Linked DNA regions of Ovis aries. The protein of the gene in region 1 interacts with the protein of each later gene in a pairwise test. Links are inferred from orthologs where the notes say so. Each region holds a gene or a part of one and is shown on either strand. Other genes may lie near its edges. The genes, in order: FBF1 and ACCS.

What was found.
Region 2: the proteins of FBF1 (region 1) and ACCS interact in a two-hybrid assay, tested with the Homo sapiens proteins (2 studies listed by BioGRID and IntAct). The two-hybrid records come from large-scale screens. The link is inferred for Ovis aries from reciprocal best matches to the Homo sapiens genes FBF1 and ACCS.

The regions. Positions count from the first base shown.
Region 1 is NC_056064.1:55,040,182-55,044,531, reverse strand, and holds the start of FBF1 (fas-binding factor 1), read right to left. Parts: upstream 3,059-4,350; 5' UTR 2,937-3,058; intron 2,542-2,936; exon of another isoform or gene 2,476-2,541; intron 2,191-2,475; exon of another isoform or gene 2,050-2,190; intron 1,960-2,049; exon of another isoform or gene 1,956-1,959; 5' UTR 1,878-1,955; coding exon 1,875-1,877; intron 824-1,874; coding exon 796-823; intron 194-795; coding exon 152-193; intron 1-151. UniProt on the Homo sapiens protein: Keratin-binding protein required for epithelial cell polarization. Involved in apical junction complex (AJC) assembly via its interaction with PARD3. Required for ciliogenesis.
Region 2 is NC_056068.1:73,087,193-73,091,487, forward strand, and holds the start of ACCS (1-aminocyclopropane-1-carboxylate synthase-like protein 1), read left to right. Parts: upstream 1-1,193; 5' UTR 1,194-1,441; intron 1,442-1,531; exon of another isoform or gene 1,532-1,554; intron 1,555-2,231; exon of another isoform or gene 2,232-2,254; intron 2,255-2,748; coding exon 2,749-3,039; intron 3,040-4,295. UniProt on the Homo sapiens protein: Does not catalyze the synthesis of 1-aminocyclopropane-1-carboxylate but is capable of catalyzing the deamination of L-vinylglycine.

The DNA.
Region 1 (4,350 bases):
GGCTGTGGTGGTGACCGCGCAATTCTGTCAATATACTACATGTCACTGAACTGTACACTTTATAAAAGACTGAACTTTATGTGAATTGTATCTCAGTTAATAAAAGAGAGAGCAAGCCTGAATCAGGGGGTTCTGGGAAAGGGGCACTTACCCTCATCTCCCAGGAGGTCAGCAAGGACATCATCGATGGAGTCTGGAACAGGAAAGGGGCCACCGTGACTTCAGGAGGAAAGAAAGGTCCTTTAGGGCCTCATGGCTTGAGACCTCATCCAGGATACTCCACCTGGATATTTCTGGATACAGAGCCCAATAAAAAGGATTTTTCCCTGAGTCCCATCTGTTGTTTATTTCTGAATTACTCCAAGGGCCAGCAAGGCAGCATAGGGGGTTCCCTAGGAAAGCACAAGCTGCCTTTGGGATTACAGGGACAATAGCAAGACTCACACCAAGGGACTTCCCTAGTGGCCCAGTGGCTAAGACTCCATGCTCCCAAGAGAGGGGGCCTGGATTCAGTCCCTGGTTAGGGAACTAGTGACTGCATGCTCAGTCGTGTCTGATTTTTTGAGACCCCATGGACTTTGTTGCCCGCCAGGCTCCTCTGTCCATAGGTTTTTCCAGGGTACTAGATCCTACAACTAAAGATCCCAAGTGCCAAAACTAAGACTTGGCACAAATAAATATTAAAAAAAAAAAAAGATATTCACTGAGAACATTCAGGCAGACATTTCTAAGTCATGTGGACCCAAGGCAGGGGAATTATTTTTGGCTTATGGGTGATGTTTCATCCCCACTTACCTTTCAATCTTTTCTTGGTTTTGGGTGCCTAAAAAGGGAAAAACAAATCCCATGAACAAGAGCAGACAGTGAATGTGTACTAAAACCCAGAATGCAGAATGAACTGTTTTGCCTTTTGCAAAGATGGGGACAAGGAACACCAGTGGCATTTGGGGACAGACGCCCTTTATGGTTTTCTTAGAGTTTCTCGGAATAGACGCATTCAGAGCATGAAAAGGGCCACCCCCAACCAGCAGTGGATGCCACACTGGGTGCCATCTGGTGGGCGGAAGTTTCTCCTTTCCCCCAGATTTCCAGATGCCACATACAACCCCTCCCAGGATGTAACGTTTTCCTCTAATCCATCTCCCTGACTGTTCAGTATCAGTGACAGATACGTATAAATGCTTTCCAGATGGATATTCAGAGGCTCAAAAGAGATGCTCGCTTACTGTTTAATAAGAAGTTGCTTTTTTTCTTTTATGCCGTGCTACACAGCTTGCTGGACCAGGGATTGAACCCATGCCCCCTGCATTGGGAAGCACAGAGTCTTAACCACTGGACCTGCCAGAGAAGTCCCATTAATAAGTTTGATATCCATGCTCCTAATCATCACTCTTCTTTGGGGCCACCCAGTCCCCAAAGTACTTCATGCAGTTAAGCTCTTGGAGGTGGAGGCAGGAGGGAGGGTAGACTCCCATTTCCACACACCTGCTCTGATTCTGTGCTGTTGGAGAAGACTCTTAAGAGTCCCTTGGACAGCAAGGAGACCCAACCAGTCCATCCTAAAGGAAATCAGTCCTGAATACTCATTGGAAGGACTGATGCTGAAGCTGAAACTCCAATTCTTTGGCCACCTGATGCGAAGAGCTGACTCATTTGAAAAGACCCTGATGCTGGGGAAAATTGAAGGCAGGAGGAGAAGGGGATGACAGGAGATGAGATGGTTGGATGGCATCACTGACTCAATGGACAGTGAGTTTGAGTAAGCTTTGGGAATTGGTGATGGACAGGGAAGCCTGGTGTGCTGCAGTCCATGGGGTCGCAAGGAGTTGGACATGACTGAGCAACTGAACTAAACTGCTCTGCATTCTGCTTACCATCTCAAGGCTCTGGGGGGCTGCTTCTAGGTCCTTCACAGTGCTCTCCAGCTCACTGGAATTCTGCCTGTCAGGCTCATCCTCCCTAATGAAGAAAATTAAAGTGTCTGCTCACAAACAATTTGGCTTTAACAGTGCTTGAGTCGAAGATTGATAAAGCCTTCTCTCACTTTACCCGTTCAAGAGGTCAAAACCTATTTCCGTCAGTTAAAAATTTCTTATGGTGGGTGATTCAGATGAGAGGCAAAGTGTTCTGGGTAACTTTTCGAGGCTTGGAGATTATTTGAAAAAAGTGCAGTGGTCCTCATTCCTTATTCTGAAAGAGGATACAGAAAATGGCAGGTCCCCATCTTAGAAAAGAGGTGGGGGTCTGGCACTGCGGTCTATACACCTTTCCAGGCAACACTCAGGACTACTTTCCCAGCAGCAATCAGCACACAGAACGGAAGTGAAAGCTGGTTACTCCTTGATAGTATTTTCACTATCGTTGGAAAATTTCCCCCTTTAACTGTAAATCCAACTCACTCCATTAGTGGTGAACTGTTTTCACCAGAATTATCATTCTTTTCCGCCCCCTCCTCAAAAAGTTCCGCACACTGACCTTTGGCACGGCTTGGAAGAAAGTAATAGGAGGTGGGCGGCTCTAGTTGCCAGGTGCCAGCCTGTCCTGTTATTAGAATGCAAAGTTAATGTGGGGTTACTGCACAGGGGCCACCCTGAATGCTTGAGTTTCTCCTCTGTAATGGCAGTGTTCACGACCCAACGTGTTTTGTCTCCCATCACATCTAGGAGCGTCTCCCATTTCCCAGTGATCCTGTCCCAGCCTCGCAGGCCGTGGGAATTTCTAAGGGAGGCTGCAAAGGGCCTCAGGACCACAAGGACCATCGCATCGTTGTGCACAGCCAACTCCGTGCCAGGCGTTTTAAGATCCCTTAGCTAGGGCCCTCCTGGTGTCACCCCCTCGGTCCTCGCGCCCAGCCCATCTCGATCCCGAGTGCAGCCTATGATCCTTCCAGCCCTTGAAATCCTCCCCACGCTCCCTGGCCCCCGCGCCCCGGTTACGTGCCATTCCCTTCGGAGGCGCAGCCACTGGGACGTGTCCCAGACATAGCTGCCGCTCCAGGATCCACTCCAGCCCGGTTCAGTCAGGCCTCCAGCTTCGGAGCGCTACGGACGCCAATCTCTCGGTCGCCCGGCCTCCGGAAGAAAGGAGAGGCGCGAAGCATCCTGGGGGTTGTAGTCCTAAACCCCCTCACCTGCTAGAGCCAAGGGCCTCTGGGGCGCTGGAATGAACCACACTTCCCAGGGTGCCCCTCCGCGGCCGTTAGTCGGCGCACCATGTCCAGTTAGCCGCTGGGCGCGTTGCTAGGAGCTGCCTCAACGCCCCTTTGCTAAGCGGGCGGTACGTGGGTTCCGAGGCCAGTGAGCTTCTTCCTTCAGGTTTTCTGCAGAACTACCACTACCTGGGCTCCAAAGTGAAGTGAAGTGAAAGTCGCTCAGTTGTGTCCGACTCTTTGCGACCCCATGGACTGTGAATTCTCCAGGCCGGAATATTTGAGTGGGTAGCCTTTCCCTTCTCCCGGCGATCTTCCCAAACCAGGGATTGAACCTAGGTCTCCCGCATTGCCGGAGACGGCAATGGCACCCCACTCCAGCACTCTTGCCTGGAAAATCCCATGGACGGAGGAGCCTGGTAGGCTGCAGTCCATGGGGTCGCTAAGAGTCGGACACGACTGAGCGACTTCACTTTCACTTTTCATTTTCATGCATTGGAGAAGGAAATGGCAAGCCACTCCAGTGTTCTTGCCTGGAGAATCCCAGGGACAGGGGAACCTGGTGGGCTGCCGTCTCTGGGTCGCAGAGTCGGACACGACTGAAGCGACTTAGCAGCAGCAGCAGCTCTCGCATTGCGGGCGGATTCTTTATCAGCTGAGCCACAAGGAAAGCCCACCTAGGCTCCAAACATTTAAAGTTCTTCCAGGAACTTCCTGGTGGCCCAGTATTAAACTCCGCGCTTCCACAGCAGGGAGCACAGGTTTGATCCCTGCTCTAGGAAGTAAGATCCTACATGCTCCACAGGTACAGCCGGAAAAAAAAAAAAAAAAAGAGTTCTTTCAGCATTCTTTTGAGGGCTCACTGGTGGAAAGGGGGAGGGCGTGAGAAACGTGTGAAGAGTGGAAAACTGATGGGCCGTGAAACCATAAAGACTAGGAAAGTGGCTGTGACCTTCAATTATGAAAGCCAAAGCTGTTAAGCCAGGATGAAACCCAACACCATCACCTAATAAAGACAGTAACACTTTTTGTGTTGATTACAGAGTTTATTAAGGGTTTTTAAATTTTACAAAGGAAGATGGGGTTAGTGGTTTAGCTTATTCGAAGGTTGGTGGGTCACCACTATCTAACCGTGACTCAGTCTTTGGACCTGTGCACCTCCTCCAGTACTCCCACCTTCACTGACATGTTCTGCCAGGCAT
Region 2 (4,295 bases), on another chromosome or scaffold:
TATTCTTTTAGTTATTAATGTGATGAAATTATATTGATTAAAAAACATTATAGTCCTGCAATAGCCCCGTAGAGTCATGATGCATCATCTTTTTATATATCGTCGGATTTGGCTTTGATGTTAAAAATTTTACATCTATTTTCATGAAGGATATTGTGTTATAATTTTCTTTCCTTATATTGAAATGAATTTTTTGATCAGTTAATTTAAATGTTTATCAATTAATATTTTCCAAAGACCTAACTTTTTGTTTCATTGATTCCCTCCCCCCCAATATGTTTCTCTTCTGTTTCATTTCTACTTTTTATTTCCTTTTTTAAACTTTGGGTTCAATTTGTTGTTTTTCTAGCTTTTTAATAGGGAAGACTAGACCTAAAGTTTTTTAAAGTTATTGATTTCTCTCCAAGCATTGCTCTAGCAACATCCCATAAATTTTGATAACTTGAGTTTTTATGATCATTCAGTTTTCTACTTTTCCTTGTGATTTCTTCAGTTCTGTCACTCAGTTGTGTCCAACTCTATAATGTATTTAGCAAACACTTTCGACTTTTTAAAAACTGTTTGCTCTAGATATTACTATATATACATGTATATATATGTGTGTATATATGTATGTAGACATATATACATATATATGTATGCTAAGTTGCTTCAGTCGTGTCTGATATATATTATTACATACATAATATATAAATAATGCACTTACCATATATGTGTGTCTGTGTATATATGTATATATATACACAGACACACATATACTGTATTGACGGATCCTGCTAGTTTTTTTTTTCCCCAGGGGAAAAGGAGAATTTTACTCTAAGGCTCTGTGTAGGCCCAGGTCCTGGGTGGTCTAGTTCTTTTCCAAAGTCTCAGAATGTGTAGGTCTAAGGTGGAGTTCAACAAGCGTTCTGTAGTACGCAAGGAGGAGGAGAAATGACAAACTCGGGTCAAAAGCTCTCTCAGCAGAAGGATGTTTTAAGGATGCGCACGCCTTAATCCTAAAGGCTTTTCCATAGGCCCCAACCAGGCATATATTTGCCCAGTAACCCTGGTAACTGCCTTAAAATGGGGAAGCTAAGGCCTGGAGGCAGAGGAAGGCGCCTGCGTTTGTGGGGCGGGGAGACCTGGTCGGGAAGGCGGTCAGCGCGCCGAGGCCGTAGAGCGCCGCGGTGGCAGCGGGCGCCCGCCCCTTCCTGTATCGGCTCAGGCCGCGGGCCGCCTCCCCTTCCCTGGCTTTCCCTCCGGCTTGGGCGGCCAAAGGTGGGAGCCGGTCTCGGGGAGAGAGGCTCTGGGGGGGCCCAGCCCCGCGGTGCGGCCCCTCGTGCGCCCCCTGCGCAGACGGGCCCGAGTGCGGGTGCCTGGGCCTGGATGCGCCCCGCTCAGCCGCGGTGGACGCGTCCCCGGAGCCTTGGGTGCCGGCGCCTTCAGCTCTGCCGAGGAGGTGCGATCCCCGCTTTGCAGAGCAGGGGGCCCTTCGGGGGCTCGCCGCCTGCAGGGGCCTTGCTCTCTGCCACCCGCCTGGCCGCCATCTCGCGGATCTCCGAGGCCGGCCACGTGGGTGTCCGGCTCTGAACTCTCCCGTCCAAGGCTGCGGGGAGGCGGATTAAGGCGGAGTAGGGGGTGGTGATCCGAGTTAAGGCTCAGGAGGCCCAGTCAGTTGGGGGAGGACCTAGAAATGACTTCATGGAGCAAAATTTAACCCGGCAGCCCCCGTGCGTTTCTGAGCATCGGGTATTGTGAGGCTTGGGCATCAGGACTAGGGAAATTGGCAGGGAGTTTTATAATAACAGTAAATATAAATATAATTTACTGAACTTCGGCCATGAGTCAGGATTGTTCTAAGCCATTTACACTAACTCATATTTTTCTGTCCTCACCAGGGCTACCGTATGAAATAGTTACTGTTACACCCACTTTGCCCAAGAGGACACTGGCTTAGAAAGTGGAGTTCACATCAGAGCACAGGATCAGACCAGCCTCTCCCTGAGGCCAGAACTGCCCCACTTTGGGAGTGAAGATGGAATTCTAGGTGCTGCCCCGGGTCCCTGCACTTGCAGAGACCCCCATTTCCCTCCTCTCAGGCCTCATGCATTGTCTGCTCCAAGTCATCAACATCAGTCACCGCAAGACCCGTGGACTCCAGGCCCTTTCTGCTCTAAGTCAGAAAAAAATTTTTTTTTAAATTGAGGTCAGCAAGACGGGAAAAAAGAAGCTGGTGACACTTTAGCCTGCAGAATCAAAGACTTCTCCAAAAGTAAAAGCAAGCGGAAGTGGCCATTAGTTAAAGTTGTATACAGTAGCAAATAAACCCTCTGTCTGTAAATCTTTAGTAGGGTTGATGCCTTGAAGCAAATGCACACACGGTCACAACTAGCAGGGGACACAGGAAGTGATAACTGTATAAACTTAAAGGAAGGGGAGACAGAGAAGGGGGAGGGCCCCATGCCTCACAGTTCATTTTTTAAAAGATTTTTTGTATTTGATGTGGACCACTTTTTAAGTCTTTATTGAACTTGTTATATTGTTATTATTAATTTTAATTTTGGTTTCTTAAACCACAAGGCATGTGGAATCTTAGGCACCCCCCAACCAGATATTGAACCCTCACCTCCCTGCTTTGGAAAGTGAAGTCTTCACTGCTGGACCTCCAGGGAAGCCCCCCGCACCCCTAACAGTTCATTTTTGATGCTTGGTGCTATGGAAGGTCCTTGATCAGATCAGAGATTGAATGCTTTTGTTTTTCTGCAGATGTTCACCCTCCCTCAGAAGGAATCCAGGATGACTAGTGCTTGTCCAGATTCAGACTCCATACAGGGCCTACCCAGTAACAAGGGAGATGGTCTGGAAAGAGAATGCTCCAGAAAACCCGACCAGAAGCCGCTGAAGTTCTACGGAGTGGGTGACCCTGCTGCCGTGCTCCCCTCCAGCAGCCCCTACCTGTCCTCTAGAGGAAGCGTCATTAAATGGTTCTGGGATTCAGCGGAGGAGGGCTACAGGACCTACCACATGGATGAATACGATGAGGACAAAAACCCCAGTGTGCGTGATGCCCCCTGCCCCACTGGGACCCAGGAGAGAACTAGGGGAGGGCACCCTACCTTGAAAGATAAGGCAGCACCCAGCTTGCTCTTGTCACGTTGGAGTCATGGACTTCTGACTTCCAGTGGGGTTTCCAGTGTTGCTTAGAGAGGTCCCAATATACTACCTGAATCAGAAAATGGCCCTCTTATAATTAAGGGAAACTTGATTTGTGGGGGAGGAATTCAATAACCAGGGAGTGCTCTTATATGGCTTCTGGTCCACAGCCCAACTATTCACCTTTAGAGCTGGGACAGAACTAGGGTTCAGGCTGAAAGGGTTGCGCTTTCAAGTTGTATATTCTTGAGCTAACTACTTAAAGTCTTTGAACTTCAGTTCATCTTTATATTGGGGTAATAATACCTGTTATATTCTGTACTGTCAAAACTAAATGTTATCAGGTATATAAATTATTAGCACAGTGCTTCACATAGAGCATTCAATAAGCGGCAGTTGCTATTATCATAAATGTATTATTATAATAACACAATTACTAAATATTATAATAATACAATTATAAATATATTTTAATTACTAATTATTATATTAAATACATATAATATAGTAAAAATATTATAAATATATTATATCATAATTCTTATACTTTATTATAATTGTTATAATTATTATAATATTGTGATTTATTATTATAAATTATTACTAGTAATTATTAGTTATTGTAGTAATAGTGTAATATATATTATAATTATAATATATATGATATATTATGATTATATATTAAATCTAATATATATTATTACAATATATTATGTATAGTATATAATATCATATATAGTCATATATATTAATATAATAACTTATTGCACATTAATAATTTATTACTATATATTATATAATATATTACATATAATATATTACATATTACATAATATATTATATATTATATAATATATAATATATTGCATATTATATAATACTATATTATATATAATATATTAATACTATATTAATATATAAAAACTTTATTATATTATAATAATTTATTAGTATATATTAATATATTATAATACAACATATGTTAATATAATATACTAATATATAATTTATAATCTATAATATATTAATATGATATAACAATATATTATATAATAAGATTATATTATATATAATATATCAATATAATATTTTTATTTTATTTATTATTTTATTTTTATTATTTATTATATTTGTTATATAATATAATATATGATTATATT